2 linked regions of the Styela clava genome follow. The protein of the gene in region 2 binds, or shares a complex with, the protein of the main gene of each other region. Links are inferred from orthologs where the notes say so. Each region holds a gene or a part of one and is shown on either strand. Other genes may lie near its edges. The genes, in order: synaptosomal-associated protein 25-like and rabphilin-3A-like.

Region 1 (15,791 bases), about 4.1 Mb from region 2:
TAGTCTTTGTGAGTGAAAATTTGGAGGCTCCGCGAGCTATTCTTTTACTTAATAAGTAAATACATCCGAGTCATTAAATAAAGAACCGTAATTTTAGTTTACTCAGGAATATCAATCGGTAAATAACAACGTGTTGTTTTGTTTTTATTTTTATAAATTTGCTGTGGTGGTCTGTGAATAATAGTCAATCTCTTCACGGGCTCCGTAACATCAAAAGTTTGAGAACCCCTGCTCTAGGTAATTGGATGCTTATCGCTTTACGATTTAGGTATAATGAAGGTGGTCAAGCATCATAAGTGGCTAGATTATACTGCTATCAATATTTGAATCATAAAAAATCTGTTATTTGATTTGTGCTTTTAATATAAATAACTTTTTTCTGAAGTGTTGAAGTAGACTAAACATAGTCAAACTATTTTGATTATTCATAAACTGCTTATACTTGCAACTATTATACAGAGATTTGTGTATAATAAAAGTTTCATATTTTTCAGTATTTGAATTTTTCAGATCGAATACTGAGCAGATTTTCAGACTCGTGGTAGTGATTATCGTGATCTAACAGTCACTTCAGGCATTTTCTAATCAAATGTAGAAGAAACTGAAATTCGGAATTTTTTTAGTACACTATAACTTTTTGGAGTTAATGAAGTTCAATAATAATATAATACAGGGTGTCCATAAAGTCTTAAAATTTTTCAAAATTGCAGAAGGAATTTATCTATACCATTTACTTTGTTGTGAGTAAAAATACTTGAACAATTACTGATTGAAAAACAACAAACCTGGTTAATATATATTGAGAAATGACTTCATAACAAAATTGAAATTTTAAAGAGACTCTATGGACACCCTGTATAATTTAATTCCATTTTACAATGATAAACAAAAAAACAGCCATTCAATTTATAAGTTAAACAATGTGGTTTCGTCAGTTTATTTTCAACACCATTAAGATCACATAATAAATTCTGCCGTCATTGCCATAGACAGACGTCAATAATACAACACAGTACCAAGAATAGCAATATATAGAATAAAACAATCCGCAATGAATTGGACGGAATATTGGAAATCAATATTTTTTATTCCACAATATCATTTTGTCTTTAAAATAACCTTTATATTTAGAGCAAGGTTACTGGCAAGGGAAATGTCTAATTGGAAATGACAGTTGCCAAATGAATGAAAAATCAAAAGTCTATATTGTATAATTAAACATGGATTTCCAATGTCCATATAATTTAGCATTGATAAAGATGTTTACTGAAAATACAAGTAATGAAAAATGACAGTATAATAGCCGACTTTCTGAATTCTATTTAGCAATACGTCAGTTGGAACATGGTTTTGATTCAAAGTTATCTTTGACTTTTGAATTTTTGAATATACATTAAAATTACAATTAACTTCCAGAACAATAAATTCTAGAAACATTGCTTTGGAAACTTTTGTTTTGCAGGGTAAAGCGATTACCGCACCTCAGTTTCATACTGTTTTATATACCTTCCACAAGGCTCCTTAACAAGAACAACTTCTCGGTAAGGAAATATTATAGTTAGAAAAAACTAAAATCTTTTCCGAATCGTCATTGCCTACAAAATTTAATACACTCTGAGTGAGGTGGTGGGAATGGGATTTGAACCTGAGATACAAGCATGGGATGCCATCATAGTAACAAAAAAAGGTACTCCAATAATATGTGAACCAAGAGGGCGGACACCGGAACATAGTACGTGTACCAGGTTAGGTTAGGCCATAAATTCAGGTACAAATACTACTTGAGTCACTTGGCTAATCCCCGAACTCGTAATAGGATTATTATGGTAAAATAAGAAAATTGGAATAAAATTATGGCCTAACCCTAACCTGGTAAACATACTATGTTCAGGTGTCCGTCATATGGGTTCACATACTACGGGAGCGCCCAAAAAATACAGAAACTTGGTCAACATAATACAAAAAGCTAGCTTAAGGAATTGGGAAAAGATTAATAGTCTGTTCTCGCTAATTGCTACTAAATGAGAACCAGACAATCACAAAAATGATCATAGCTCTTAGTTCTCACATATCTTACCTTGCCCAATCTAATTTTACTGTGATTCCACTTGTGGGACATTTAACTTCCACATTCATCACCCAATATTTTTCTGGTTTGAACGATTGGATTTTATCGTGACGATCAACACAGAAACCAAGAGTAGGTGTTTGACATGGTCCATATGATATCAGAGAACTATCCAGGTTTCCATATTTACCCTGGAATCAAAAATGAGTTGATGAATAAGGAGTCGTTTGTGCGATACTGGAAAAATCTATGTTGTTATTGCGGGTTTAAAATCTCAGGTGCAGATCCAATGTTCATCACCTCACATAGGGTGCAATAAACTGGCCCAGACTGGGAACATTCCGGTCCTTCCTAACTATAGTATATGCTTGTCTACTGATGGCTGCTTGTATAAGTTGGAGTAACAAGCCTATGGAAACGTCATATAAGGATATTTTGATAAATTTTTGGGAAAAATCAGAAAGTCGATTGCTTAGTCAGTATGAATAAGGAGTTTCCCAAAATACTTGTCAAATTCAGTAGCCTATCTTAACTAAAAAAGATAAGATCAAAATCACATTAAAGTTAGACATGTGGCACATTCACAAGTCAATTGCAAAACAAGAAATTTTAACAGAAATCAACCAAGTCACAAACATGTTAATAATTACTATCAAAAACCTGGAAAAGAAAGTGAGCAAAAAAGTGTATTATCTTAATTACAAATTAACCTTCATATATGCATTAAATGTACAATTTGAGTAAAGTAGTGTCGAGTTATTGACAAACTAACCTGAAAATATCTGGTTTGAAAACGAGTGAAAGCACATCCAAGTCTCAAATCTAATTCCTGTCTCGAATCAACACAGAGTGACTCGTTATAATTAGGTTCCGCTAAATTTCTCATTGCCTCGTGAATGTCTTTATCAGTAATAGCGCTAAACCGGGCTCTGTAAACTCTTTTGCGTCCACTCTGAAAACGAAAATAATATTTATAAAAAGAGTGAAGTATTAGAGAATTCTTTATTAATAATTGGACATAATAAATCGACTGGTATACTAACAGAATTGTCCAGTACGAATTGAATACATTCAAAGTTACTACATTTTAGGAAAACCAAATAAGAATACCAGAATACCTTCATTCAATTTTTTAAAAATAATTTCTGTATTTCAAACCGGATTGATTATACACACTATGTGTTTTTTATAGAATTGAAATTCCATATTCATAAATATTATATTGGAAAGGTTTTAAGAATAGCATAACGGTAATTACGGTAGGTTTTGGCTTCCATGTACATGATAATCCATTGATGATATACTTCGAGACAGACAGACTCAACATTTTTTCAATTTTTATTCAAAAATCTTCAATTGTATTTTCGATAAATTAATTCAAAATGTAAATTATAATTTAACCTTGTATTTAAGCCAATTACCTTCAGACATTTTGGCAATGATTCAGATGTTTTCAATCAAATACAATGAAAACTTTATTTTTGTATTTGGCCTAAAACCATGACTAACTTCGAAATCGAAGATGTAATCATTGATATCATACTTCAATAAGTTTTGTAAGAAATTACTTGATGCAAATTTGAATTAGATCGTTATAAGAAATATGTTGAATAATTTTTATTAATCTGGTGTTTTTGAATATTTATATACATTCTGGGAAATTTATTCATTTTTTCAACTTTTTTTTTCATTATTTTCAAGAATCAAACACATGAACTCTTCAAAATGATATTTTTTGGAATAAAAATCTCAATCTATTTATCCGAACGCAAATTTAAAATATTTAGTATCAATTTGCAATCGATTTAATAACATGCGACTCATTTTGGACATCCAAGTACCAGAAAATTTATTTGGTCTCCCTGCTATACTTCAATTCCATTTAAATAAATTTATTTTTTATTGATACTCATCCTTATTTCATGGGTCAGACACATTAATGTTTCACAACCAATAATAATCAATAATAGCAATAAATCAATACAATTGCAATCTCTAGGAAACTTAGTAACTTAAAAATTGATTTTAAAAGTTGCCATCTGTGAAGATGGTTAATAGCACTTGATATCACTGATGCTATTTATTGATTGGTAAAGTAACTTCAGTACAAGGCACACTTGGGTCCAATTGACAATTTTTTATTTCTTTCGACTTGATTGATAAATACAGGCTCCTTCATCATTAGGAGCAAATCAATGTAAGTTCCCTAGGGCTGCCTATCTGCCGCAAAGTAGTTGCATTTCCGTTATTTGTTTTTAGAACCTCACCCAACCCCCAAGTTTGTCAGCCTCTCGCAAGAATATTTTCAGGTACATGTTACCAAACCATTGTTTTCTCAAGAGAATTTGCCTAAAATTAGCCCCAGTATAATTACTTTTTTCCCTATTTTTCTCTTTTCCATTAAAAAGATTCAACAAAAAATATATTCAAAGGTTTATTTCAAGGCATTATTTTTTGTATTTTCCCACCTAACTATAATTATTCAGCTTTACATTCTACCTATTCTAACATAAAGGGGTTCCATAAAGTCTATTAACCAAGTTTGATTTTGTTATGAAGTCAATTCTCAATATAACTTAACTAGGTTTGATGTTTTTAATCAGTAATTGTTCAAGTATTTTTACTCCATTAATACATCTGTGAGGGCCAAAACAATATGTGGAATGTGGTATCTATAAACTCCCTTTGCAATTTAAAAAAAATTAAGGCGGCATGGACACTATTTACATAAATCTTACCAAATAATATGAAGCATAAATGAATGAAAAAAATATATAAGCCTCACACTTTTATTCATGATTGGTTCCACAATGTCTAAAACTTCAAAGCAGATATTTTCTCCTTCCTTATCACAATCTAACCATAGCACAATCGCATCTACGCCTCGTGCTTCTTTTTCCAGAAACCTAAATTAGTTACGATATTTAAAATTAAAGATTTAATGGGACACTTTAGAAAGAATGAACTTGTGATTTTAGACATAAGATTTTTATTACCTATTAATAATTATAATATCTCTTAGATGATTCATATATACCAGGGGATAATTTTGAGGGTTGAGTCGAAGTTCCATTACATTGTTAAACGCCAGTTCAATGGCATGGAGGAAGGATTGGCAGTTCTCTGGCGTAACCACAACTGATAGCATAATTCCATGTGACAATTGTTTTTCTTAAGATGTTAATATGTTCCCCCCCTCCGATGCTGCATTTTTTCAAAGCAAAATAGACCTACTTTATATAATGCTCGACAGCAAAGATCACTGCAGAACAGAATTATATAATTCTAAATTATTCAAATAAGGACATACCATACTTACAAAATCCTATTTTAAAAGTACGATCAATAATTTAATCACTATCAGTAACAATAAGCATCACAAGTTATAAATAGATCGGAAGTGTGCAACATTTTTTGTCGGTGAGCCATAAGACCAAGACATCTAGTTTGGACACACAAATGAAAATAGTTTTTCCATGCACACAACAAATTGAAAAATTATCCCAATGCAAAATTTAACACGGTGACGAGAGTAAAAAAAATTATGTATTTTTACCCATTTCCAATAAGCATGAACTGTCGAATTGGGATTTTATGTTTTATGGAATGAAATTGGAGTGACAAGGGGCGCACTAAATGGCTTGGTGGGTCGGGTTGTGGATCGCGGCCCGCCTGTTGCACACCCTGTTATAGATCATACAGCTGGTTGGTCAGCCAAATAATGAGAATAACAGAGATTGGTTAAAAATTGAATAATATCATCATTCTTGTATGAAGCCTTGTCTAGAGCAAAATCTGTCGTGACTCGTCAAACATGAGACACTTCCATTATTAACCAGAATAGAATTCTCAAAGCAAACTATGGCGAGTCCGTTGCGATAAAATTTTCCCATTTATTATTTATAAACTATTTTAGTATATTAAAATTCCATTTTTGGCTAAAATGATTCATAAAATTATTCATACTTGATAATATTTAATTTGGGATTTGCTTCTTTTTTCATAGTTGGAGCAGAAAATAATTCCCCAGGATCAACTTTTTCCCAGTTATTATATTTTCCTTCAAAATCCAATGACATGACATGGCCACACACAGACGTGACTTTGAAGCTGACTCTTTCGCCATAAAATTTATCTGAAAAAATTTAATACAGTCAATGCCTTTACATTAATCCATAAACTACTTAGTTGAAATAACTGGCAGTTAGATATCCAAGATGATATAATAGTAGAATTGATTCAAATTTTATTATATTTGATATTTTAAATAACAGGTATGAGTTTTGTTCAGAGTAAAATTTTGATTATAAAAAATACTAAAACAGTTGTTTATTTCGAAATCAAGTATTTTTATTTAAATGATAATTCGACAAAGGGCCTTCCGGTAGGCACGTGTCTGTAAATAACCTTTATTAATGAACTATTCAAAGCTGAAAAGCTAAAAAGTTTTTCAACTATATGTGCAGTGAGAATTTTTTGCAAAAATGACCCAAAATAGGGCCTTCCGGAAGGCCCTTTTTTAGTCGAATTATCATTGAAACTCATTGAATATACATAGACTCATCCAGAAAATCGAATCTAATCTACAAAACGTCGATAAAAAAAAATTATTTTAGATTGTATTCAGAAGATAGAATTAAAAGATTTTAGCCATCACTCGTTGTGGGCATAGTAGATAATATGTATGAAACTCAACTAAGTCAATTAAAAAAAAACGGTAGGATTCATCAGACCAACTCAATTACTCATTGTGTCTAAAAGGCTAAAGGGCAAAGCATTGTTCAGAGCGATGAAGATATGGTTTATAAAAAGAAAACAATTGCCATAGTGTCAGTACATTCATTGGAAGAAAACTACATAAGTCTTATTTAAAGGATATATTATTTAATAAGAATACAAAATTAAATGCTACAGTACCTATTTTGACTCATTTACAGTTCATCAAGATTAAAACCATGTCACAATTTCAATTTGTTAGAAACTAGATGAGTAATAAAGCAAAATTACGTCATACCCTCATATTCACGTACAGGGCATCAATGTTTATTTCAAAATTCCAGTATTTTAAAATTCAAACTCATATAGGCCTATAAACTTCTAAAGAATATGGTCTCATTTGAAGTTGATTCAATATTCCCCATTTGAAATTAGTACTTTATAATGTTTTCAGAATTCTTTTTAAAAAATAGTAAAAGTCACCTAATTACTAACTGTGTCTAAAAGACTGTTGAGCAGAGAATTGGGCGGCGATGAGGATTATAAAAAAAAAAATTGACATCATGTTAAAAAAGGTATAAGGAAAATATATGAACCCAATTTAGAGAAGACATTATTTAACAAGAAAATAAAAATAAGTACTATAGTAATTATGTCGACTCGTTACCAGTTCATACAAGATTAAAACCATGTCATAATTTCAATTTGTTAGAAACTAAATGAGTAATAGATCAAAAAATATGTCATACCATCATATTCATGCACAGGGCAAGATCCACTGATGCTTTTCCTCGTATTACATGAACCATGAGATAAAATCTTCGCTATGGATTGAGCCAGAGACGGCTTTTCCGCAACCATTAACACTGTCCTCATACTTAATTCATGGGAAACTATGGATTAGAGATATGTAATCCTGGAGGTGGAAGTGACAAACTGTCTATACTTTTCTAGTCTTAAATATAAATTTATTCATTAGTACAGTAAATATTTCAAATGAATATAATACATACATATCAGATGAAAACGATTAAAACCATAGCAGTAAATTGAACAAAAGAATGAAAATAACGCAGTCGCTATATGGGGAAAACAATCTTAATAATAATAATAACATTGAAAACATAAACTTTGGTGTTTAAAAACAACAGATGGGGCGTGACATTGCAGAAGCAGACGAGTAACATATTATACTACAAGAAACAAACATTGGGCGGGCGTAAAGATCGAATAATAAATATTTATGAGTAGACAGCTGTTACAAGTCCCTATAGAAGTATGAACTTCAAGAGTATTGTAGTTATTAATGCTTTAACAAACAGATAACAAGACAAGACTGTGCTTGCAAAGGGTGTAACTTTATAGTATTAAATCAATACAATTGAGAAATCTTCACTGTAAAGTTTGGCAGATTTCAATAATCGACAAGATGGCCAAGTAGATATTTCATCGATTAATTCTCACTGCGGTATATTATCAGGTTTACTATATTTAGGATTCATTGTCATGACAATTGCTGAAATAATCATTTTATTACATAGGTAGAATATTACAAAATAAAATCATTGGATAAATTGAAAATAAAAAAAGACCTAAAAAAAAGTGTTCCAAAATTTGCTGTTTTGGTATAAAACATATTAACCAATTTTCTTTTTATTCAAAACATGCCACACATTCTTGGGAAAAAGAATTCTTGTTTAAGGTGTTTATATCAAGGAACGTGGACATAATGACATACCAGAAAAAAATTCAGGATTATTATAAAGTTTTCAACAATTCACATTCAATATCCATCTCAGAAAATATATAAGTTAAACAACACATTAGATACTTAGATCAAAAAATAATCGATACATACTGTACATATCATAAAAGAACACAAATATTAATAATAGGTCTTACGAAGTAAACAGCCTACACAAAATGATAAGAAATCGATGAACCTAATTGAATGGTGGTGTTGGATGAAGAGAGTGTCCTTGAGTTTACTAGAAACATAACTTGGTGTAATAAATAATTACGGAGAGCTTATAACCTTAGAGCGGTATGAAAACATTTATTGAACATTGGGTGGCCACCAATGTGAAGATAATTCTACTCTTAGCAATAAGACAAATTTGTAAAATAAGATAAATGATGATAGTGTCCTAAAATTTTCTCTATCCCAGCCAAATCATGGTATATCTAGATTTTATTTAATTTAATCTTTTCATGAATTCGCTGCATGGCATGTCACTAAAAAGCTTTCACTAAATTATCGAAAATTGTTAACCACTACCTCATAAATTTAAAAAATTCTATATAGTTTATACTCTTAATATAATTCACAAATTTACAAGTTTAAGATAGTCATTTCCAATGTTTTAAAAATCCAAAATGTACCAAAGATCTCCGTGCTTATTCAACTATGATTTTAATTCAAATCATTACAACTAATTTTATTCCAAATATCGGCATGAAAAAGTTGAGTAATCAAAATGTCGAAAATGAACAACCAATCACCAGTGTAAACGTGAAAGTCACCTTATTCTCAAAATGAAAGATGGTCTGAAGATGAAAAATGTCACAGAATGTCATTATCATTCCAATAGTTGCAGACTTACTTAACATAGCAACAAAAGTTTCAACATGAAAAATCAATTTTCAATCTTTGATAAAAATACTTTGACTGTTTTGACGATGAACCCGAATCGATTGGAAAAGTCAAAAAATGTCATTTCGTAAATAAATCATTTTACAAACAAATGAATAGTCTGTAGAGTGTCGAGTATAATGCATTGACCTTAATAAAATATTCATGAAGGAATTCCAATCAGAATCAAACATATGAATTAAAATATTATAATGCAACATTTGATTGAACTGGATATCAAGATGCAGTTGGGTTGTCAAGGCTTCGAAGAAAAATTCAATCAAACTCATATTGTATATAACAAATTAACGTTGGGAATTTTCATATTCAAAAATACTATAATTTTGAATATTAATGACGCCAATTAATGATATCTGACTTATAATATCAAAATATGTTTTATTGATTGGCAATATAGAAAACTATTTGAGATTATTTCTTGTCTTTTATCGTGAGAATTTTGTCTCTATGGAATAATAAGGGTTGGATTCATACTCAAGCATAATGTTGCGCTCTACTAATTTTAGATTTCAAACTACCACCCATAACATTTGTCATTCTCAAGAACATATAAGAAGAGGCTGAACCCATAAATGTACTATAGGTTATGATTTGGGATATTAGAAAATTTTCATCAACAACAATAACCAAACCAGGTCATCGTCAATGTAAGCATGCAATATTGCACAACCCCATAATACTCACATTAATGCACTGTTAAACGTGCATAATGGAAATCGTTTTTCAATATTACTGATTTCATGAAAAAAATCGCTACAGAACAACTATAATTAAAAAGAAATGAATAAAGATTATCAATTACTGTTCAAAGAGGTGTAACATTTTCTTAACTTTAGTCAGAATTTTACATTTGACAGACAAAAGCTAAAATAAATAAGCAGAATTTTGCTATGAATTACCGAACAGATAAAAAAATTTCAATCATCTTTGTTTAAAATCTTCCAAGTCAAACGTAGAATCTTTGCCTAATAATATCAGTTTGAAAAATATCAGAAACACTCAAGTGCTGCTTCAGAAATACAATGCTGATTAGTTTTATAATTATTCACAAGTAGATTTAGCAAGCTCCTCCATTTATATTTATTCTTCTGAGGAGCTGACTGGGGAGTCCCGGATCATATGATACTATTTAAACAATCTGAATTGACCTATCAATAATAATGAAGAATATATACTCAGTTGTTGAGTATTTTTGCAGCCCGTTGGTTAGCGGAATCAATTCTGCCCTTGTTTGCATCAGCTTTTGCGTTGATTCTATCAATTTGGTTGTTTTGTGATGAGATTTCATTGCCCATATCTAAAGCCATGTGCTTCAGATTACCGATAACTCCAGCAACTTGTGTCAAATTCTCTTCCATCTCATCTTCTCGTGCATCGTTTGTTACCCTCTTGACGTATCCACCACCAACTTGTGCCATCGTTCTCTCATCCTGAATCCTGGCCCCGGGTTGGTCGCTGACAACTTTATCTTGATTTTTACTGAATGCTTTTTTATATTCGTCACCTTTTTCAAAATTTTTAGCTCTATTCCATGGGCAAACACATAATCCACAACACTTTTCCAATCCTTCTAAATTTTTTTCCGCTTGTTTCATGTCTTGATTAATTTGATCCATTCCTTCATCGATCCTATCGAGTTGTTCTCCTTGTTCATCAAGCATAACTAAGGTTCTGATTCCAGCATCTTGTGTTTCTTCCATCAGACCAACCATACGACGAGTACTTTCCAGAGACTCATCAGTAATTTGGTTCGCCCTCATCTGCATGTTGGCGAGCTCGCCTCTCATGTCATCATCTGCGGCCATAGTTTATTTTGTTGATGACTACACAATTAAATATGTAAATTAGAATACAATCTGCTATTTGGTATGAAAGTTGAAGTTTTAAAAATACATTGAGAAATATTTTATAGGATAACAATGCAACAATGACACTCCATATATCCTAAATTAGATACACATGTTGTCTCACTCATCCCATATACAACTGTCGCGCTCTGATTGTGCATGAATTGCGCAAAATCAAATAACAAACGATTGAAACACCTGAATATATTCTGCTATTAGTGTATACCTGCTGATACAGAACCAGGAGAGAAAAAAAATAATTCTAAGTAGAAATGTTTGAAACGTATAGAATTTAAAAATAAATGGGGTGGCTAAAAGAAGTAAGTGGTACGTGCTCACTAACCTTCGCAAGTTTTTACGGAGCTTAATAAGTAACGTCTGACTAGGTAGGTATAGCATTAAATACATCTGTACATGAATGAATATCAGAGTTAATCATTCTTATTACTGGTATATGCAGTACAGCAGTGTGACACAATTCTCTGATCCCAATTCTCATCCTTTACTAGACAGTATGGGCCTCCGACACTGTGCTAAAAATGTGAACATTCGATTTCTCTGAAGAAAATAGTCCGATTTCAGGAAAAAAAACGCAATTTCGGTCATGTGACGGGCTGTCAGCAGACACATAGCGCGAATGCAGGAATTACTTCAATTATGACTGAAAAATGGATGACGCGTTGTCAGGGTTGTCCAAAACGAATCGAATATTCGAATATATTCGAATATCAAGGTATTCGAATACCTTTTCGGCTGATTTTCGAATAATTCCGAATAGTAGCCACTTTTTGCCGTAAACGTGGTGTTTCGTTTTTTTTTTACGGGAATCTTTAAACGACTTTTTAAATCGGCACTTTGATTGTTTATATTCTGTGCGACCGTACGTCGCATAGTGTTGCGACACATTTGCACGTTTACGTGGGTGGACATTGCCGACATTCGTGTACGAGGCTTTTAATTTACAAATTCATTTCCATTACGTCGAAAAATTGAGAAAGTATGTTTCTTTTATTTCTATGTGGCCTGCTTATTATTCGCATGAGTCTTCTCAAGCATGATTTGTGTAACCTTATATTTGGGTCTTAGGGTCTGCCAATCATGATATTTAATCGCAGGCTGGTTATCGTTACTTTAAAGAGGAACACAGCCACCAAGAAAAAGTGATTTGTGACCCTTTCGTTTTGCCGATTCAGCAAAACACCACAGGGACAGGAAAACACAGCTGTGAAATAACCCGTGGACGTACAGTGTAGTACTTATCACATTCCAAAATTATTTCAACATTCGGGTTAATAGGTTGTCCTAAATGATTGCCGCTTTACAACTTAAATTTACCGCTCAATTGTTAAAAATAGTTAATTCTGTGAGTATGATTCTACCAAACTAACATGATCTGGTTCTAAACATATAAAATTATTAGCGAATTTTTCTACCCGTCTTATTGGAGGCCTATATGGAAAAACCCCTTTTTTGAGTGCTAAAAATAGACATCGTCCTATTTGCCATGTGGACTTATTAGCCGGGAAATACGGTATTTATAGCCGTAATTGTTACGATATCCAATAAATTGTCACAAGTTGGAAAAACAAGTCGATTTATTAGAAAATAATTTCTGGCAAATAATTCTGATAACGATAGTTAAAAGTATCGATCCTTTCCAGGATGATTTTTTATAGCGCAAAATAATCCAATCCATGACTGGTACCAGCATTTAAAATGTCATGCCGTATTAATTTAATTCTGTTCAACGTAACTCATGGTTGTATCGACTATCTGTGGACATAAAACGTGTAGTAAACTGACCGATATTATTAAATATTGATTCCTATTTGTATATTGCTAAAATAATGAAAGTATTAATGCCAAATACAACGGGTATTTGTGGACATGAAATACGTGGTAAACTGCCCAATTATAATTAATTTCGGATTCGTGTTTACAAAATAATAAAACTAATAATTCTAAAATGCAACGGCGATCTGTGGCCTTCAAATGTGTGGTAAACTGCCCGATTTACCAACATTTGAGTTATGATAATAGAATTAAATTAACACGGTAAGGCATTTTAAGTAGTAGTATCGGTCATGGATTCGAATATTTTGCGCAGCACAAAATCATCCTAGTAAAAAGTCCATACTTTTAAATACAAACCAATGGCAACCATTATACAAATTAGTTCCCAAGAGCGGGATAAAATATAAATTCTTTTTCCGACTTGTGACAATTTTTCGTGAGTACGAAAATAAGAATCAAAACTAATTATATTCGGAACAATATCACGGCAATCTGTGGACATAAATTGTGTGGCAAACTCGCGATTAATATTAATTTTTGATTCCTATTTTCGTATTTACAAAATACAAGGCGATCTGTGGACTTACAATGTGTGGTAAACTACCCGATTATAAATAGTTTTTGATTCCTATTTTCATATTTATGAAATAATAAAAGTATTATTACTCAAACATACAACGGCGATCTGCGGACTTAAAATGTGTGGTAAAGTTCCCAAATATAATTAATTTTTGATTCGTATTTTTGTACTCACGAAAAAATTGTCACAAGTCGGAAAAATACCTCATACTTTATCCCGCTTTCCGACAAATAATTTGGGTAATGGTTGGTATTTAAAAGTATGGGCGTTTTACTAGGGTGATTTTGTGTTGCGCAAATATTCAAATCCATCATCGATACCACTATTGTCGTATTAATTTAATTCTGTTAACATGACTCATGGTATATAAAATATATACTGCAATAATCTGCAAATATGAAATGCCTGGTAATATAGCTAGGTTGTAACTTGTAGATAGCAGTTATTCCATTGCTCATTGTATGGAAATTCCTACATACATTTAGATAAGCTTCAATTAGTGGATTTTATTTTCGAAGTATTCGAAATTTCATATTCGAAAAAAATAATTTCGAATGTATTCGAAATAGTGAACTATTCGGTATTGGCCATCCCTGCGCGTTGTGACGCTTATGCCGCTGTGCCAGACTATCTTGTTTCATAGACAAACAAAGAGATTGTTTTATGGAAGCAAATTTCGAGCATCTCGGAATCGGAGATTATGCCCAAATGGGCTCCAGTGAAATAAATGCTGTAGGGTGGTGTAGCCAGTCTGCGAACGATTTCATTCAAACCGCTATAAAACAAAAACCATCATTTCTAACCCGTTAATTTTTTCATTAACTTTCTACGACCAGGGGTTAAAGCTATACAAATCCCCAAAGTACGACACTCTGAAGACGTATTTGCGACCAAACGACCAGTGTGCGATCACAGATTTCAAGCCTTGAACATCATTTCTGCTGCGTCGAGACTAGGGCATATGCAGCCATGCGTGAAAAAATGGGCTTCTAATTGCATTTTATGACCGTCATATATTTTAAGAACACGGTTATTTCGAACAAAATTCTTCAAATTATAAACAAGCTACGAGGGATAAGTGGACGATAACGCGTGAGAAATAACGTCGCGGTTCGTTAATTTTTTCGGCATTAATTTAATCGATGGAGTTGATGGTCGCAGATAGGTCATGGCCACAAAGTGGGTAAGCCACCCTAACTGTTTAAATAACGTTGAAAAGTAAAGTCTGAAAGTAGTGTGAAAATAAAATACTTCAACTGCTTAAATATACGAAAAGTGTCTCAAATCTTATTTTTTTAATGAAAAACTTGTATTGCGTGAAACACTAGGCTATACAGCTAGACTATATGACACCCTATTTCTGTATTTGGCATGAGACATACTCCTGTACTCCCTGCACGGTATGTACCTTTTTAGTTGGAAATTGAGGTTAGATTTTAATTACCGCCAACTTACTGTACCGTACCGGTACCTGTATAACAAGAATTTCAATCCGAGTAGACTATTACTGTATTACAGTATTACGGTACCGGTACAGTATTACCGGTACCAGGGTACCGTACTGTATTATATGATAAAACAACTACCGTGAACACAAAGGCAACTGAAATTCAAACTCATACTGCAGTCAGTACTGTTTTAACTGTTAGGATACGGTACCGTACTCTGGTACCTGAACGAGTATGGTACAGGTACCCTCTGACTACTGGACTGTACGGGTGGAGGCTAACTCGCCATGAGGGCTAACTCGCCATGGACCACTCGCCATGCGACAGCCATACCAAGCACGTCCCATTTACCCCTAGTCTTATAATCTTATAGAATAAGTTAAGGCGTCCTAAACGTTCACAGATTACTAAATTACATATATCCATGTTTAACTCAGTCCGGCAAGCCACAAATGCCGGGAAATGAATCAAAATCAACTGAACAATAATATCTCTATACAGTGTTGCCAGATATGATGGTAAACAAGCATGAAATTCACAGTCGCGAAAACAAGAAAATTAAAATCTAAGCTAAATATCACAATTGTTTTTTTTTATGAACAAGAGAGCTATGCTCAAATATATGGACACGTAGCGCCACGCAGTGGCATTAATTTTGATGACGTCATAGCGAAAAAAAAAGTAA
Region 2 (15,872 bases):
GCCCTCAATGAGTGCAAACACACAAATTTTCATATTTTTCAGATTTTAATATCTAACAATTTTTTTGTAAAATGTAATATTAAATTGTTGATTTCCAGGAGTGAAATTTAAATAATTCTCACCATGTAAAAATCCATAGTTTTTATCCTAATTGGACCATGAATACTTAGGTCACTATAAGTATATTCATATATAGATAAAAATTTGTGGGTGATTGGACTGTAATAAATATTTAATATCATTTAAGAATAGGAATTTTCTAATTTCGATGGTTGACAATTCGACGTCCGCCCGTGTATAAGCCACATGTATCAATTTTAAAATGTTACATTCCGTTACTATAAATACTCTCTTCTATTTTTGTTTAAAAAATAACACAATTCATCAAAGACTCCAATATATAACTTAAATACTACAGCATTTATTAATGAATATTATCATGTTCACGTGATTGCTAAAAAATCATAGCTGGATAGTTAATTTGATTACGCTTATTTTAATAATGCCTGGAAGCCATAATTTTTACAAAAGAAAACATCCAATGAAAATAATCAAATTGCAAAATTAATTCATTTCACAGTCTACATATTTCTTTTATTCTTAATTCTAAAGATCAATGATATTATTTTAAATTCGATCAATACGTCATAATCTAATACATAGGCCAACCTAAGTATGAAAAAAAGAATAATGACATGAATAAAACAAGGTAGGTTCAATAAGCATAGAAATCCATAAAGAGATTACTAAACACGCAAACAGCAGGAGGACAATCTAATATAAGCGTGAATTTGTTGCTAATATCCTTAGGGATTTGTAATAAATTACATTCCCTAGCCACCAATCACAATTGAAAGAAAAGGCTTGATTGGGTAAACATGTTGATTGATGATCAATACCCCAAGTACAATCACTTGAATATTTTAAGAAGATTTGAAAATTTATAACGAAAGATCCAAAAATCATGATCATGTAAAATTTGAAGTAAAATAAAATACGAAAATACTTCAATTTCTGATACAAGATAAGGTAACGGTTTGATTGAAAAGAAAATCTTCCCAAATCTTCGGCCTTTATTCTCTCTTTATTTCTCCCTCACTTTGCATGCAAACTTTTTTAGTAGCAAAGTATTTTGGTAATAATAAAGAACTATGAATATCAGTAATAGTACCCCAAAAACAAAGCAAAATTCCTTTACAAGAACGACTATATTTGTCTTTGGTTGGAAATCAGGTATAATAAAACAAACATAAATGCAGTACATTGAATAATACATACTCAGTTGCATATTTGATGGTTTATTAGTTTTTCCTAAAGTTATTCCATCGTCATCTGATGAGCTTTCTTCAAACTCAGAACTACTTGTCAAATGAATCTCTAAAATACAAAAATAGGGGTTTTATAATCCAAAAATTCATCTATATTGTAGTTTACACTGACGTTTTTTAATATTAAATTGATATGTAAAATAGTTGATTGTGACATAGTCAATGATTTCCATTTTCATGATCAAACATTTCCTGTTTCAAACAAAGATCAGTCAGAGAATTGTGGAACTAATACATAGGGATCAGATAAATCCAAATATATCAATATTTAGTTTTCATTACAATGACACATTTACAATTTCAATAATAATATTTGTCGAAATTTGGACATACTTGATGGCTTAGTCCATTGAAATGACCCAGTCGAACCAGCAGAAACCGTCCTACGATGCCCTTTGCCACCCACAACCGGTGAATCTGGAAGAGCAAGAACATCTTTCCTATGCATTTTAGGCGAATCAATGACTTCAGGGACATAAGGTCGTCGTTGAGGCCTTCTTTCAATATGGTCAACATCAGAATGCCTGAAATTCGGCAACTTGTATCTAAAACAAAATGAAATATTATGCATATTTGATTGTTATTTATAAAGTCTTACAATCTAGTAGAAATATGGAAGACATTTATATTACCAACATGATAATTCTAATTAATACAAAACAAGCGCTGAAAGGAAATTTTCATTTTTTGAGTGTTCTTGAAGTCCTAAATTAAATTAGGAAATAAAAGTGTGCTTCGTACAAATAATGTTTGGCATATAAAGGTGTATAAAATAAAGTAAAATACTTCATCCGTTTGCAATTTCACAAATCCAACAAAAGTTCACACAAAAACATATTACTTAATAACGATAAAGCAAACATACGTTGGAAGTGATTGGAAGAACCATGCACCAGAACGTTTCCAAAGTTCTCGATTTTCACTGCAGATCTTACATAACCAATTCATAGATAGATTCTGTAAAAGTATAATATGCATCTCAGCTCAGCTATGCTTCATATGAAGTAACAAAAAAATATTTTAATCACTCTGTAGATTGTAGAATAAATTCTTGATCTCAATTTAAAATGTATCTTCGATGGTACATTGCAATCCACAAAGGGTTTATGAATTTTTCTTATAAAATTCCCTAAAGTATTTTAACATACCCTCATGCAGGGGCTGGGACTTTCCATAATTTTTTTTTTTTTTGGGGGGGGGGGGGGAGGAATGTAATATTAGAATGTAATTTTACTATTCAAATACTTGTACTTATAGGTAGGCAACAAAATATTTGGCAGTATGAAGTAAGATTACATTAGGCCTTAGCCCTCAGTAAAGGCAAAACACAATTTATCATATTTTTTTTATTTTAATAATATCTAACAATTTTTTGTAAACTGTGATATTAAATTGTTGAATCCCACGAGTGAAATTCAAATAATTCTCAGTGAGTAAAAATCCATATTTTTATCAAAAGTTGAGTGTAATTAATAGGAAATGGCAAAGTATCAATCAATAAGTTGAAACTGTCATAAATCATAACCTTGATAGTCAAATAATTGAATAATAAATGTCCAACGATTATTAGGCACCAAAATATTTGGCAGTATGAAGTAAGATTACGCCTTAGCCCTCAATGAGTGCAAAACACAAATTTCCATATTTTTCAGATTTTAATATTTAACAGTTTTTTGTAAACTGTAATATTAAATTGGTGAATCCAACAAGAAAAATTTAAATATTTCTCACTATGTAAAAATCCATAATTTTTATTAATAGTGGACCATACATACTTGGTCACCTAAAGCATAGGTTCTCAAAGTGCTCCGTACGGAGCCCCAGGGCTCCGCGAGAGAAACCCAGGGGCTCCGCGAGCTATTCGATTACTCTTCAAAATACTGACTCAAAATTTTGTAACTGTTCAAAGAAGCAATAACATATAAAATCTAATAACAATATAGCCTAGAAATATGGTAAATAGGCGGAATTAAAAAATGACATTATTTATAAGCAGGAGCGCAGCCAGGATTCTTAAGAGGGAGGGGGTTTAAAATTGGAATCGGAAATTTTCGCGCAATATTCTTCGCGATTAAAAATACTGATAACGAGATTTCTGTTGCGTAAAATATTCAATCCATGACCGATGCGAACATTTAACGTGTCTCGTCGTTATAATGTAATTGTGCATACCGTTAATTCGAGATTACTATTAGGTTTACTAAAATGAAAGTATACTATTTTAAAATAACATAAAATATGTGATAAACTGCCAACTATAAATAAATTGGAGTCGTATTTTTGCGACCTTAGGATTTGTCAAACTTGATTTGTTCTTTCGCACTTGAGATTATTTTTAAGCAAGATATCACCGTTTGAAAAATCACAATGTCTGGGCAAAATACGAACAATTGAAATTTATTTTATTGCATTCGGCTCCGTCGATAGTTTCAGAATGAAAAAAGGTACATCGCGGATCGCGCGCACAATTGATTGCGTGCGGCTCCGTCGGTAGTTTCAGAATGGGAAAAAAATGGAACATAGCACACACAATTGACTGTAATTCGATTTCGCAGTTACTACGATGAAAACCTAACATAACACCAAATTTTGTGAATATACAATGTCTATAAAAGCGTTTTCAATCTGAGGGGAGTCTGCTGAAACCAAACGCGTGATCTTCCATTCTTAAGTTTCAGTTGTAATATTTTAGAATGCCGTTTTTCAATCAAGAAATTAGAGTTGCGGATTTACCTCCTCATTAATTATTATTTTTAGCATTTCGTCGTCGATGACTATAATATGGTAACATGTTTTTCACATTGAACTCATAATTCCCCACGAGAACAAAAAAGCAATTAGAGTCGTCAATGTGTAACAATACATGTATATGCCGAGGGAAATTTTTGATTTAGGGAGAATAAACACCAGCGTAAAGATGTTTAAAACACGCCATGCTGACGAAAAAAATCGGTGATTGTAACAAAATGAAATCGCGCACGTTATTAGCGGCCTTTTAAGTATTCCAAAAATGTCAAAAGAGAAAGATTCGACCCCTACTTTATTAATATGTTCGTCAAGTGTCAAATTTACAGCTTTAGTATAAAATTAAGATTTATTTATGACTTGTGTTAACCCTATTAAAAAAGGTTCAGCATTTAAAATAAGTAAAGTACTTTTAACTTGCTCAGGAATATTAATCCGAAAGTAACAATTTTTACATTCAATTTGGGGCTCCGCGAATAATATTCAATCTTCCAAGGGCTCCGCAACACCAAAAGTTTGAGAACCCCTGACCTAAAGTACCGGTATATATATAAATAAATAAAAATGTATGGGTGATTGGGCTGTAATTACCGGTAATAGGAAATACGGAGGACAAGAATGGAGAATAACAATCAATTAGATGAAATTGTCAGAAATCATAACCTTGATACTCAATAATTGGATAATAAATATCTAATGATTATTAGTATGAACTCTAGCGTAAAAAAGGCTCAATTTAAAAGATTAAAGTAAGTAAGTATGATCAAAAAAGTAACGTCTACTATCAATTATAACATGAAATATATTGAAGGAATGGGGCCTACCTGAGCAGAACTTTGTTTTCCATTTATATGTTGTTGTCCTGTATCATAATCCACACAACATTTGTTGCAGACTTTCTGTCGTGAAGAAAGTGGAAAATTATTTTAATTTTAATGATAGTATTTCAGATAAAATTTGAAATGGGCTACCGCCATTGTAATACACAGGAGAATTAGGCTTAGTCTAAGCTAAGATAATTACAATATAGCAGACTTATAATAATATGAATCACAAGGAACAATCACTGCACTCAAAATAGAAACTGTCATTAAACACGTAAAAAATTGAAGTTTTTTTTAAAGTTTGGCAATTTGACAAGCAGAGTTACCTTCTTACAATCCATACAAATGATTGGTGCATTTCTCGAAAATTTCCCAAACTGTTCTGCACAGAGAATGCAAGTTGCTTGACCATCTCCCATTGAATTCTGTCGCATTATGTTCAAGTGATGCACGAGTGACCTAGAAATGAACATAATAAATGACTTTATAAACCAATAGACAAACTGAGTTAGGTTCAATGTTTGATACATTTTACCACACCTCGAATTACCTCGCGTGGATTTAGAGATATGAATACTGTGTGAAAAAATATGTGTGAGAGGATATGAGGATTGATGGACTCTTGGTGGTTTACGTAACCGCTCGTGAGGTATGGCTTTCCCAATCAATCAAAATTGGTGAATTACTATTTCCATGCCTGATCTGAACTGGAAACTAGAAAAACGCCATGGTTTGCCATTTCATCTATCAAGATAACACACAAAAATCGAAATTAGAAAAAAAAAATTAAAAATTTACGACTGATGCATGAATGCCATCGGCAACCAAAATCAAAGTCTTATTTATCAAAATTATTGAATTTCATACCCGACCCTTTCCTGTTCAGTTTCTTCCAACATTTTTGCTTTATTTATTACATTTCGTATCTTTTCTAATTCATCATGAGTTAGAGAATTTGATTCTGTTCGACCAAACTGATTTGTTCTTACCGACCATCCTGACCTAAATATAATTAATAAGTCTTTTTTTTTTTACATTAATAACTTTTCTAAATGTGCGCATACAGCATGACCCAAGTGTGGCAGCACAAAGTCCTTTGGGTATTAAAAGATTATCATCCGACAATAACACAAGAAAAACTGTTATTTCTCCCATTTTCACAAAAAAGCTTTTTTAACTTTTGCTGTTTAGGTTACAACCACGAAAGGGGACTCAATTAAGTATGGTGTATGATTGCTTTTTCACAAAATTAAACAGCAATAAATGATTGAGTGAAAATATTATTCATTCAATGAACAAGTTTTATCTATATCTCTAACCTATTTCATTATCAGTCAAGCTTGAAAATTGTAGAAATTTGTCAAAAATTGTGAATAATTTTGTTCTTCAAATCAATGATTATTATTATTGTATTTATAATTACCTCAACTTAGCTCTGAGTGCCAAATGACGATCATTAGGGCAAATCCAAGCTGAGGTATTAGATTCGTCATGCATATTTACATTTGCTATGCTACATTACCTCAATTTATCTGAAAAATATATACACATACATACATGCGGTACATTGTCGATATTGACATTTTTTTTAAAAATAAGCAATTAAGTACATTCAACCAGAAAATATGATGAAAAAGGTTTAAAAACTAAGAAACATTAACTGTAGGCAGTAATAACATTGATGAAAAATGTGAATTTAATCTTCAATCTATAGAATATTATTGAAGTGCTATAACATTTTAGCAGTGGCTTTTATAGAAAAAAATTATGTTCAACAACCTAAGTCTTTTATATCGATAATGTGACAGCACCATAGTAAAATGTAATTGTTGAAAAAACAAATTTATTTTTGTATATCATCAATATATTCCATATTAAAAAGAGTCTTTAACTTTAAAATTCAATTGATATTACACAAAATAACGTATTTTTGAATACAATCAATTCTGATAATACAACACAAAGTGCAGCATGGATATCACATAACCAATGACCCTCTTTCTGTTAAAAATGTTAATTATTAAGATATGAAATCAGTCGTTCTGTGATTTCTAAGGTTTTTGTATTTTTCATTTATATCTTTTAAGCTTTATTCAAGGCTGTCTCTCGATTTATACCACGATGAAGATTTCATTCTGTTCAAAGCATAATCCAGAGATGATGTGTCAGTAGTGTAATCCTTCATTTCTGCAATTTTCAGTTTGTATTCTAAGACCTGTTTCTGATGGATGGATGCTTTAAAAGCATTTATTCTTTGTATTGATTTGGTTATTGCTTCTGGATACATGACACGCATGCGCGGAATCGTATTCATCATTTTCTCCTCAATTTCTGAATCATTTTCTAGACTGTTCTGCTCATCTCCCATATTATCTATTTTTACCAATAAGTAATTATATTGCAATGCAATAGAATAGATGAAGTCAATAAAAAGATATCCTTATTGATATGTCGAACATATTCTAAATAAAAATTACAGAAGCATAATAAAAAATATTTGTATACTAGAGTAGAGTGTTTAGATTTGTCTTTATCGATTGTATATTCTCAATTATAAATATCCATTCAGAATTCAGAAAAAAATGATTCTTTAGAAAATCAAAGCATCAACTATGGGTACCAACCCAATATGACTTATTATTGTAGAATATCAGACTGTATCTATCTCCTATATCAGTACCGGTATATAAGATTGACAGAATTGATCGTAACTACCAACGAAAGATATAAAGTAAAAGTAATACAACAAGATAGCAATTACCTAAGTCAAACACACCTGTTACAGTGTTACCGGTAGCATTATAATAAATTTGTTTTCAAAAATACATGGACCACTTATGGGTCTCGTGTAGTTTCGTACTTCTAGTAGGCGTAGCATAACAGTTTTTTGGCAAGTCAATCCTGCGGATTTCTTCCTGATCTTGAAACTTACAGTACCAACTTTCAGACTTTTTAACTTTTACAAAGTTTGTACACTCAAGATATTCAGTAGGATAGGATTTACATATTTATCCAGGGGGAGAGGAAAGCCGATAAGACGGCTTATCCATATGGCGAACCACGGCCTCTCGTACGGTTACCATTGCAAGTCGGATATGGGATTAGTTATATATATTGTTTGTTTTTCGGGAGAATAGACTTGGTGGTAGAGGAAGCTTTAACGGACCAGCGGCGGTTACGTGAACCACCCAACGACGGCGAGGAGTCCAGCAATCCTCTCGCACATAACCATTCCTGCATGGGATTCGAACCTGAGAACCCACTCAGAGTAATTCTGTAATTAGAGGTGCGGTGGCGAGCGTATTCCTAACGCTTAGCTCGTTGAGCCACACCGCCGCGCCTACCGGTCACCCGGAGAGAATCATTAATTTTTAATAATAAAAATTTGAATAAAAAAATATTTTACAAACACTCCCGACTCCTCGCTATAAAATACATTAGTGGTGGCAGCCTAAAGTCTTTTTGGCTTTTAGGCTACCAACCCCTCTCATAAAATACGCATATTACTGTATTAGCAGCCCTGGGGCTCCGTACGGTCACGGAGCACTTTGGGAACCTATGGATTCAGTGATTAGAGCAGCGTTTCCCAAACTGTAACCCGCGGAACACTGGTAAAGGGACAACACTAAAAGGCTGAAGGAAGAAACGGATGAAGTGGAGGGAAAACGGAAGTTGAAGTGTTCCCAAAGGTGAAAAATTAAAAAACACTAAAAGGCTGAACACTAAAAGGAAGAAGTGGATGAAATTTCTTCCGACGGGTAGTTAGGTGGCTGAAGTCACTAAAAAGCTGAACACTAAAAGGAAGAGGTGGATGAAATATTTTCCGACGAATAATGAGGTGGTTGAAGTCACTAAAAAGCTGAACACTAAAAGGAAGAAGTGGATGAAATTTCTTCCGACGAATAATGAGGTGGTTGAAGTCACTAAAAAGCTGAACACTAAAAAGAAGAAGTGGATGAAATTTCTTCCGACGAATAATGAGGTGGTTGAAGTCACTAAAAAGCTGAACACTAAAAGGAAGAAGTGGATGAAATTTTTTCCGACGAATAATAAGGTGATTGACGTCACTAAAAAGCTGAACACTAAAAGGAAGAAGTGGATGAAATTTTTTCCGACGAATAATGAGGTGGTCGAAGTCACTGGTTGAAGTCACTAAAAAGCTGAACACTAAAAGGAAGAAGTTGATGAAATTTCTTCCGACGAATAATGAGGTGGTTGAAGTCACTAAAAAGCTGAACACTAAAAGGAAGAAGTTGATGAAATTTCTTCCGACGAATAATGAGGTGGTTGAAGTCACTAAAAAGCTGAACACTAAAAAGAAGAAGTTGATGAAATTTCTTCCGACGAATAATGAGGTGGTTGAAGTCACTAAAAAGCTGAACACTAAAAGGAAGAAGTTGATGAAATTTCTTCCGACGAATAATGAGGTGGTTGAAGTCACTAAAAAGCTGAACAGTAAAAGGAAGAAGTTGATGAAATTTCTTCCGGCGAATAATGAGGTGGTTGAAGTCACTAATAAGCTGATGGATGAAATTTCTTCCGACGGATAATGAGGTGGCGGAGGTCACTGAAAAGCTGAACACTAACAGAAAGAAGTGGATGGAATTTCTTCCGACGGGTGGTGAGGTGGCTGAGGTCACTAAAAATCTAATCACTATAAGGAAGAAGTACGTTAGGGTTAGATGATATTTTGTCCTATCAATTTTGAGGCGGTTGAAGTCACTAAAATACCGAACATTGGGAGAGTTAAATAGCCAAAACATATCCCGACGGAAGTGAGATTGGATGAAGACCCTGAAAGCGGACTGATGAGTAGGCATGCCCCTTTTAGATTTATGAATTGAATCGATTAAAATCGCAATTTTTTTCGAATCTGATTTACGCGATTCGAAAGAAAGAGAGCCGTTTAGCGAAGAAAAACAAACACTCCAAATAACACCAATTGCCAGACGGGAATGTAAATGAATTTTTCGTTATTTACTTTTATTGATCTGCCTTCATTCATTTTCATGTTCAGCGCAACACACCCTGATCATCACTCGAGATGCTGACGTGCTGTGTGGGTAATTAATTTCCTTCAATCTGTCAGTTGAGTGACTGACCTAAGTTTCTATCACACGCAAATTTAAATGGATCGTATACCCGAAAGTTCGTTGCAATTTTGTTAAAAATATGCAACAGCACACCTTCTCTGCGACTAAGTTATGGTACGCCTTGACATGATTTGATAAACGATCAGATACCGACTTCTAGAAAACTTTTAATTTTGATTGAAATTTAATTTAAACTTCGTTGAAATTGAAATATTTGTACTACTGAAGTATGCGCACCAAGATGTCGCACAACCTGATCCCTAACCTCGTACACCAGTGATTTTCAACCTTTTTTGTATCGCGGAACACTTTTTTTATTCTAAAATTGTGACGGAACACCAAATGAGAATTTTGGAAATAAACTATATTATGCAATTAACTGACATCGATCATTTCGGAAAAAAATAAATTAACGAGATTTAATATTAGCTTGTCAACTTCAGCTGGAAAAGACGTTACACATATTCCGATTCAGAGCTACTGATGAGCTAGGAACAGAAATGGTATTTTAATGTAATATCTGGGCCTGTTTCGATGAGTTTCAATTTTTTATTCTGGCTGGAATTTAATTGAGAGAGACAAACACGCAGCTCTTTCTCGACGACTCTCAATTTTTCGTGTTTTTATACTCTTATGGCGGCCAAGAAAAGGGTGGGCAAAATCGAATATTTTTTCGAATCAAATAATTCGAATATTCTTAACAAATACCGAATAGTCCAATACCGAATATTTTTTATACGCAGCAGGGTCCAGAACGTCGGAGGTAGATTTGGAAATTAATAGAAACATTGAAAATCGGCAACAAAGCGATTTTTACTGGTTAATTTCGTCATATGCGCTGATATTTTGTCCCCCTGAACGTTTTTAAATTCCCGCCATTTGTTCTTTTGCGCAACTATTAATTCCCGTGGGTCGGCGGAGATCGAAGTTTCATATTATTGATATAATTATGAGTTCACATCAGCGACAGATTTTAATGACATTAAGGAGTGATTTCAAAGCCAAATTAATTGTATTCTGATATTTATCTTTTGCGCCGACTCTGATCTAACTTATCGCCGTTTGCAAATTAAATGTCCCAGTTTTAAGCAAATAATATTATCATTATCGTCAACGGGATGCACACATTTATTATTAAGACGACAATTGACTTTCTTAGGCTCAGTGTTATTTTCGAAATAAATCAATTTGATACTGTGATTAGATAAATCTGTGAAGCTGTGATTGCGTGAATAAAGAATGTTGATTTAAAATCTGAAATAAAGGCATTTCTACGTTGTCGTTTGGCAGCACTCTCGAACGATATTTTACATACGCGACCTGATACCAAAAAAATTGTAAACAATTTTGTGCCCAAGTGCTTTTCGTACCTAGTAGAAGGGAAGACGCTAATTATAATTAATCACCTCAAGTCACCATTTATTTTGCAACAAATCAATACCCCGACCAATATCATAGCTAATATCGTTACCGGGAAATTCATAATTTTATTTACGGAATTTGCAAATTCAACACTCCAAAAAAAACGTCTTTGTAACTCTTAATTTCCGAAAATGATTTTCTATTCGGGTCATGCATGCGGAGGCTAATAACATCTTTAAAATCTGGTAACTTTATTTTAGATATCTTATTTGGGTTGACGTTTCTACATTTACGGACTAGTGTCGGCACGCTTTTTGCATAATAACAGTGGAAGCCGAGGGTGAATTCTCGCGTAATCCAAGCGATCGATTTACCGGCGTGAATTCCGTGCCCAAGCAAAGCGGTACAGATTATGTGGTATTGTACATACGAATAGTAAAATGGCATTCGAATATTTTAATATTGTATTCGCTATTCGAATATTTTGCACAGCCCTAGACCGGCCATGCTTAAAAACTCATTTCGCAAAGATAGGTAGTGGAAAATGATAGCAAGATTGGAAGCGGTTGTGAACCGCGCTTTGTGAAATTTATATAAATCCATCGGACGGTTAAATATCAGTTATGACGTCATAATACTGCAAAAAAGCAATTTTCTGCGGAACACCCGGAGGTCTCTCGCGGAACACCGGTGTTCCGCGGAACACCGGTTGAAAATCAATGATCTATAGCAGTGGCCGGCAACCTTTTTTCAGTAACGGACCGATAAAGCCTGACCAAAATTTTGGCGGACCACCTTTATACAAACGAACTAATCTAATGTAATAAATAATATGCGTTAGAAAATGTATGTTGACAATACATTCAAAAACGAAGGTGATACTATTCACGTAACGTATTTCTTACGTTAAACCCACTTCGATCTTTCGTTTTTGTAATTGCCATTTTAAAAACCCAACCTCACATGAAGATAACAATGGCATTGTACGTTTTCATGTCACCTTTCTGCGGACCGGTAGTGACCTTTCCGCAGACCGGCGATGGGCCGCGGCCCGGTGGTTGCCGACTACTGATCTATAGTATATGAAGGAATTTGCATACAATAAACAATGGAATAACTGTTATCTACAACATGACTATATTACCATGCATTTCATGTTTGCAGATTACTGCGATATATTTTTATATACCATGAGTTACGTTATCAGAATTAAATTAATACGGCAAGCATTTAAAATAGTGCTATCGGTCATAGATTTGAACATTTTGCGCAACACAAAATCATCCTAGTAAAAGTCCATACTTTTAAATACCAACCATTATCCAAATTATTTGCCAAAAAGCGGGATAAAGTATAAATTATATTTCTGACTTGCGACAATTTTTTCGTGAGTACGTAAATACGAATGGATTTTTTTTATATTCGGGCACTTCAATGTCCGCATATATATCTTTTATTATTTTATAAATACGAAAATATGTATCAAGAATTAATTATAATCGGGCAGTTTACCACACATTTTAAGTCCATGGATCGCCGTTGTATTTTGTAAATACGAAAATAGGAATCAAAAATTAATAATAATTGCCGTGATAATTGCCGTGATTAATAATAGATTGCCGTGATATTGTGCCCGAATATAATTTATTTTTGATTCCGTATTTCATTCCTTGAACTTAATATCTGTTTTTATAAATTTTGCAAGCAGTTCACGCACGAAGACTTTGAATAATGATGTATTAGTCAAATCGAAGTCCTGTTAGACCACTGGTTCTCAACCAATGGGCCATGGGCCACTGGTAAGCCTCAGAGGCATTTTGAGGTGGGCCACAAACATATTATAAATTACGAGGTTTGTTGATCTAGAACAGCTAGATATGAAAATATATATATATTAATTTGTTTGCACATTACATCAAAATTAAAAAGAATATAACGAGAATGTCATGGCCTTCAATTCGGCAGGCTCGAACTGAGCATAACATATAAAAAATTAACAAAAAACGAATCCACGAGGACATTGTCTCATAAATACGAACAGAACAAACATTAAATTACCCAATTCCTAATATATTAAATTTTCAAGTATTCCTCACTATCCATCGGAGGAAATTTCATCCACTTCTTCCTTTTAATGTTCAGCTTTTTAGTGACTTCAACCACCTCATTATTCGTCGGAAGGTAATTTCATCCACTTCTTCTTTTTAGTGTTCAGCTTTTTAGTGACTTCAACCACCTCATTATTCGTCGGAAGAAATTTCATCCACTTCTTCTTTTTAGTGTTCAGCTTTTTAGTGACTTCAACCACCTCATTATTCGTCGGAAGAAATTTCATCCACTTCTTCCTTTTAGTGTTCAGCTTTTTAGTGACTTCAACCACCTCATTATTCGTCGGAAAAATTTCATCCACCTATTCTTTTTAGTGTTCAGCTTTTTAGTGACTTCAACCACCTCATTATTCGTCGGAAGAAATTTCATCCACTCCTTCCTTTTAGTGTTCAGCTTTTTAGTGACTTCAACCACCTTATTATTCGTCGGAAGAAATTTCATCCACTTCTTCCTTTTAGTGTTCAGCTTTTTAGTGATTTTAACCACTTCATTATTCGTCGGAAGAAATTTCATCCACTTCTTCCTTTTAGTGTTCAGCTTTTTAGTGACTTCAACCACCTCATTATTCGTCGGAAGAAATTTCATCCACTTCTTCCTTTTAGTGTTCAGCTTTTTAGTGACTTCAACCACATCATTATTCGTCGGAAGAAATTTCATCCACTTCTTCCTTTTAGTGTTCAGCTTTTTAGTGACTTCAACCACCTCATTATTCGTCGGAAAAAATTTCATCCACTTCTTCCTTTTAGTGTTCAGCTTTTTAGTGACTTCAACCACCTCATTATTCGTCGGAAGAAATTTCATCCACTTCTTCCTTTTAGTGTTCAGCTTTTTAGTGACTTCAACCACCTCATTATTCGTCGGAAGAAATTTCATCCACTTCTTCCTTTTAGTGTTCAGCTTTTTAGTGACTTCAACCACCTCATTATTCGTCGGAAGAAATTTCATCCACTTCTTCTTTTTAGTGTTCAGCTTTTTAGTGACTTCAACCACCTCATTATTCTTCGGAAGAAATTTCATCCACTTCTTCCTTTTAGTGTTCAGCTTTTTAGTGACTTCAACCACCCCATTATTCGTCGGAAGAAATTTCATCCACTTCTTCCTTTTAGTGTTCAGCTTTTTAGTGACTTCAGCCACCTAACTACCCGTCGGAAGAAATTTCATCCACTTCTTCCTTTTAGTGTTCAGCCTTTTAGTGTTTTTTAATTTTTCACCTTTGGGAACACTTCAACTTCCGCTTTCCCTCCACTTCATCCGTTTCTTCCTTCAGCCTTTTAGTGTTGTCCCTGGTAAAGAGATCAAAATTACGACTAATCGCAGAACCCGAAGTCACAATAGACCTTTCGCCGACCTTTGACTCCTGAAAAATTTTTCCTATGCTTCACCATTGACCTTTCCGCGAGCATCGACTTCCTTGTTTACTTCATGACATTGGCTAATCAGCAAAATACGGTACAAAAAGTGACGTAACAATGCCCCCTTTTCGCATCCGATCAGACATTTTTCTGACTTAGACAGATTTTCAAGCGTGGTTGTAAACATTATTGGACACGTAGTGGACATAACGATCGTTTCAATATTATGTTGTTGTTGTTCTTGTTCTTGTTATCCTTGTTGTTGTTCTTTGACACGTTTTCAAAAAGTCGCTTTTCTCTTCGAATACTGGACCAATTGCTTTGAAATTTTCAGTGGTTGAAGATAAAATTTTTCTCCAGAAGGCTATTACTTTTTTTTTCGCTATGACGTCATCAAAATTATGTGACTCTACGTGTCCATATATTTGAGCATAGCTCTCTTGTTTATTTGTAGCAATCAAAATTAGTGTAGAGATAGCTGTGATAGACTAGCCTGGAATTATTTACCGGTACTTATAAAAAAACAGATTGTTGTATGCGATGAATCATAATGATGATTTGAAACACATACCCCCTTTTACAGGCGCCAACTCGCAAAAGTACTAGCCCCGAAAATTTTGCTCCCCGACCTTTATTGTTTTGATTTAGGTCGGCGATAGTGTGGTACGTTGCTCGTTTTAAAGGTCCTAAAATGGTATTTCACTAGTGATGGCGGTATTTTCGTGCCACTAAAGTTTTAACATGTTGCCAAGTGATCTAATATTAACGGTATTCTGTCTTCACATTGCCGTTACTGTACCTAATTTAGTTCCAAAAGCTTTTCATCAGATGGAGAAGAATACAAAACTTCTCACTGAGAGGTGATATTTAAACTTCTATGATCGAAGAATGTCAGAGGGTGGTGATAGGACTGGGAGACGTGTGTGCCTACCGGTATCCCGTAGTTCATAGACTAATGGATAGGGATAGGATATGATTTACATATTTATCCCGCGGGAGAGGAAAGCCGATAAAACGGCTTAGTCGTATGGCGAACCACGGCCTCTCGTCCGGTTACCA

What was found.
Region 1: the proteins of rabphilin-3A-like (region 2) and synaptosomal-associated protein 25-like are in contact, whole or in part, in a crystal structure (PDB 5LOW), measured with the Rattus norvegicus proteins. The link is inferred for Styela clava from reciprocal best matches to the Homo sapiens genes RPH3A and SNAP25. Residues at the interface, in NP_598202.2 of Rattus norvegicus: His617, Ser618, Ala621, Ile648, Ser649, Ala650, Lys651, Gly652, Leu655, Tyr659, Leu662, Lys663, Lys665; in NP_112253.1 of Rattus norvegicus: Glu38, Asp41, Ile44, Arg45, Leu47, Val48, Met49, Asp51, Glu52, Glu55.

The regions. Positions count from the first base shown.
Region 1 is NC_135257.1:17,694,766-17,710,556, forward strand, and holds synaptosomal-associated protein 25-like, read right to left. Parts: upstream 11,311-15,791; 5' UTR 11,243-11,310; coding exon 10,613-11,242; 3' UTR 7,739-10,612; downstream 1-7,738. Other genes in the region: DNA topoisomerase 3-beta-1-like, read right to left, coding at 2,078-2,259, 2,841-3,020, 4,854-4,974, 6,035-6,203, 7,534-7,660.
Region 2 is NC_135257.1:13,557,331-13,573,202, forward strand, and holds the start of rabphilin-3A-like, read right to left. Parts: upstream 6,460-15,872; 5' UTR 6,395-6,459; coding exon 6,321-6,394; intron 5,900-6,320; coding exon 5,765-5,899; intron 5,357-5,764; coding exon 5,224-5,356; intron 4,973-5,223; coding exon 4,898-4,972; intron 2,286-4,897; coding exon 2,194-2,285; intron 1,874-2,193; coding exon 1,662-1,873; intron 1,378-1,661; coding exon 1,279-1,377; intron 1-1,278. UniProt on the Homo sapiens protein: Plays an essential role in docking and fusion steps of regulated exocytosis.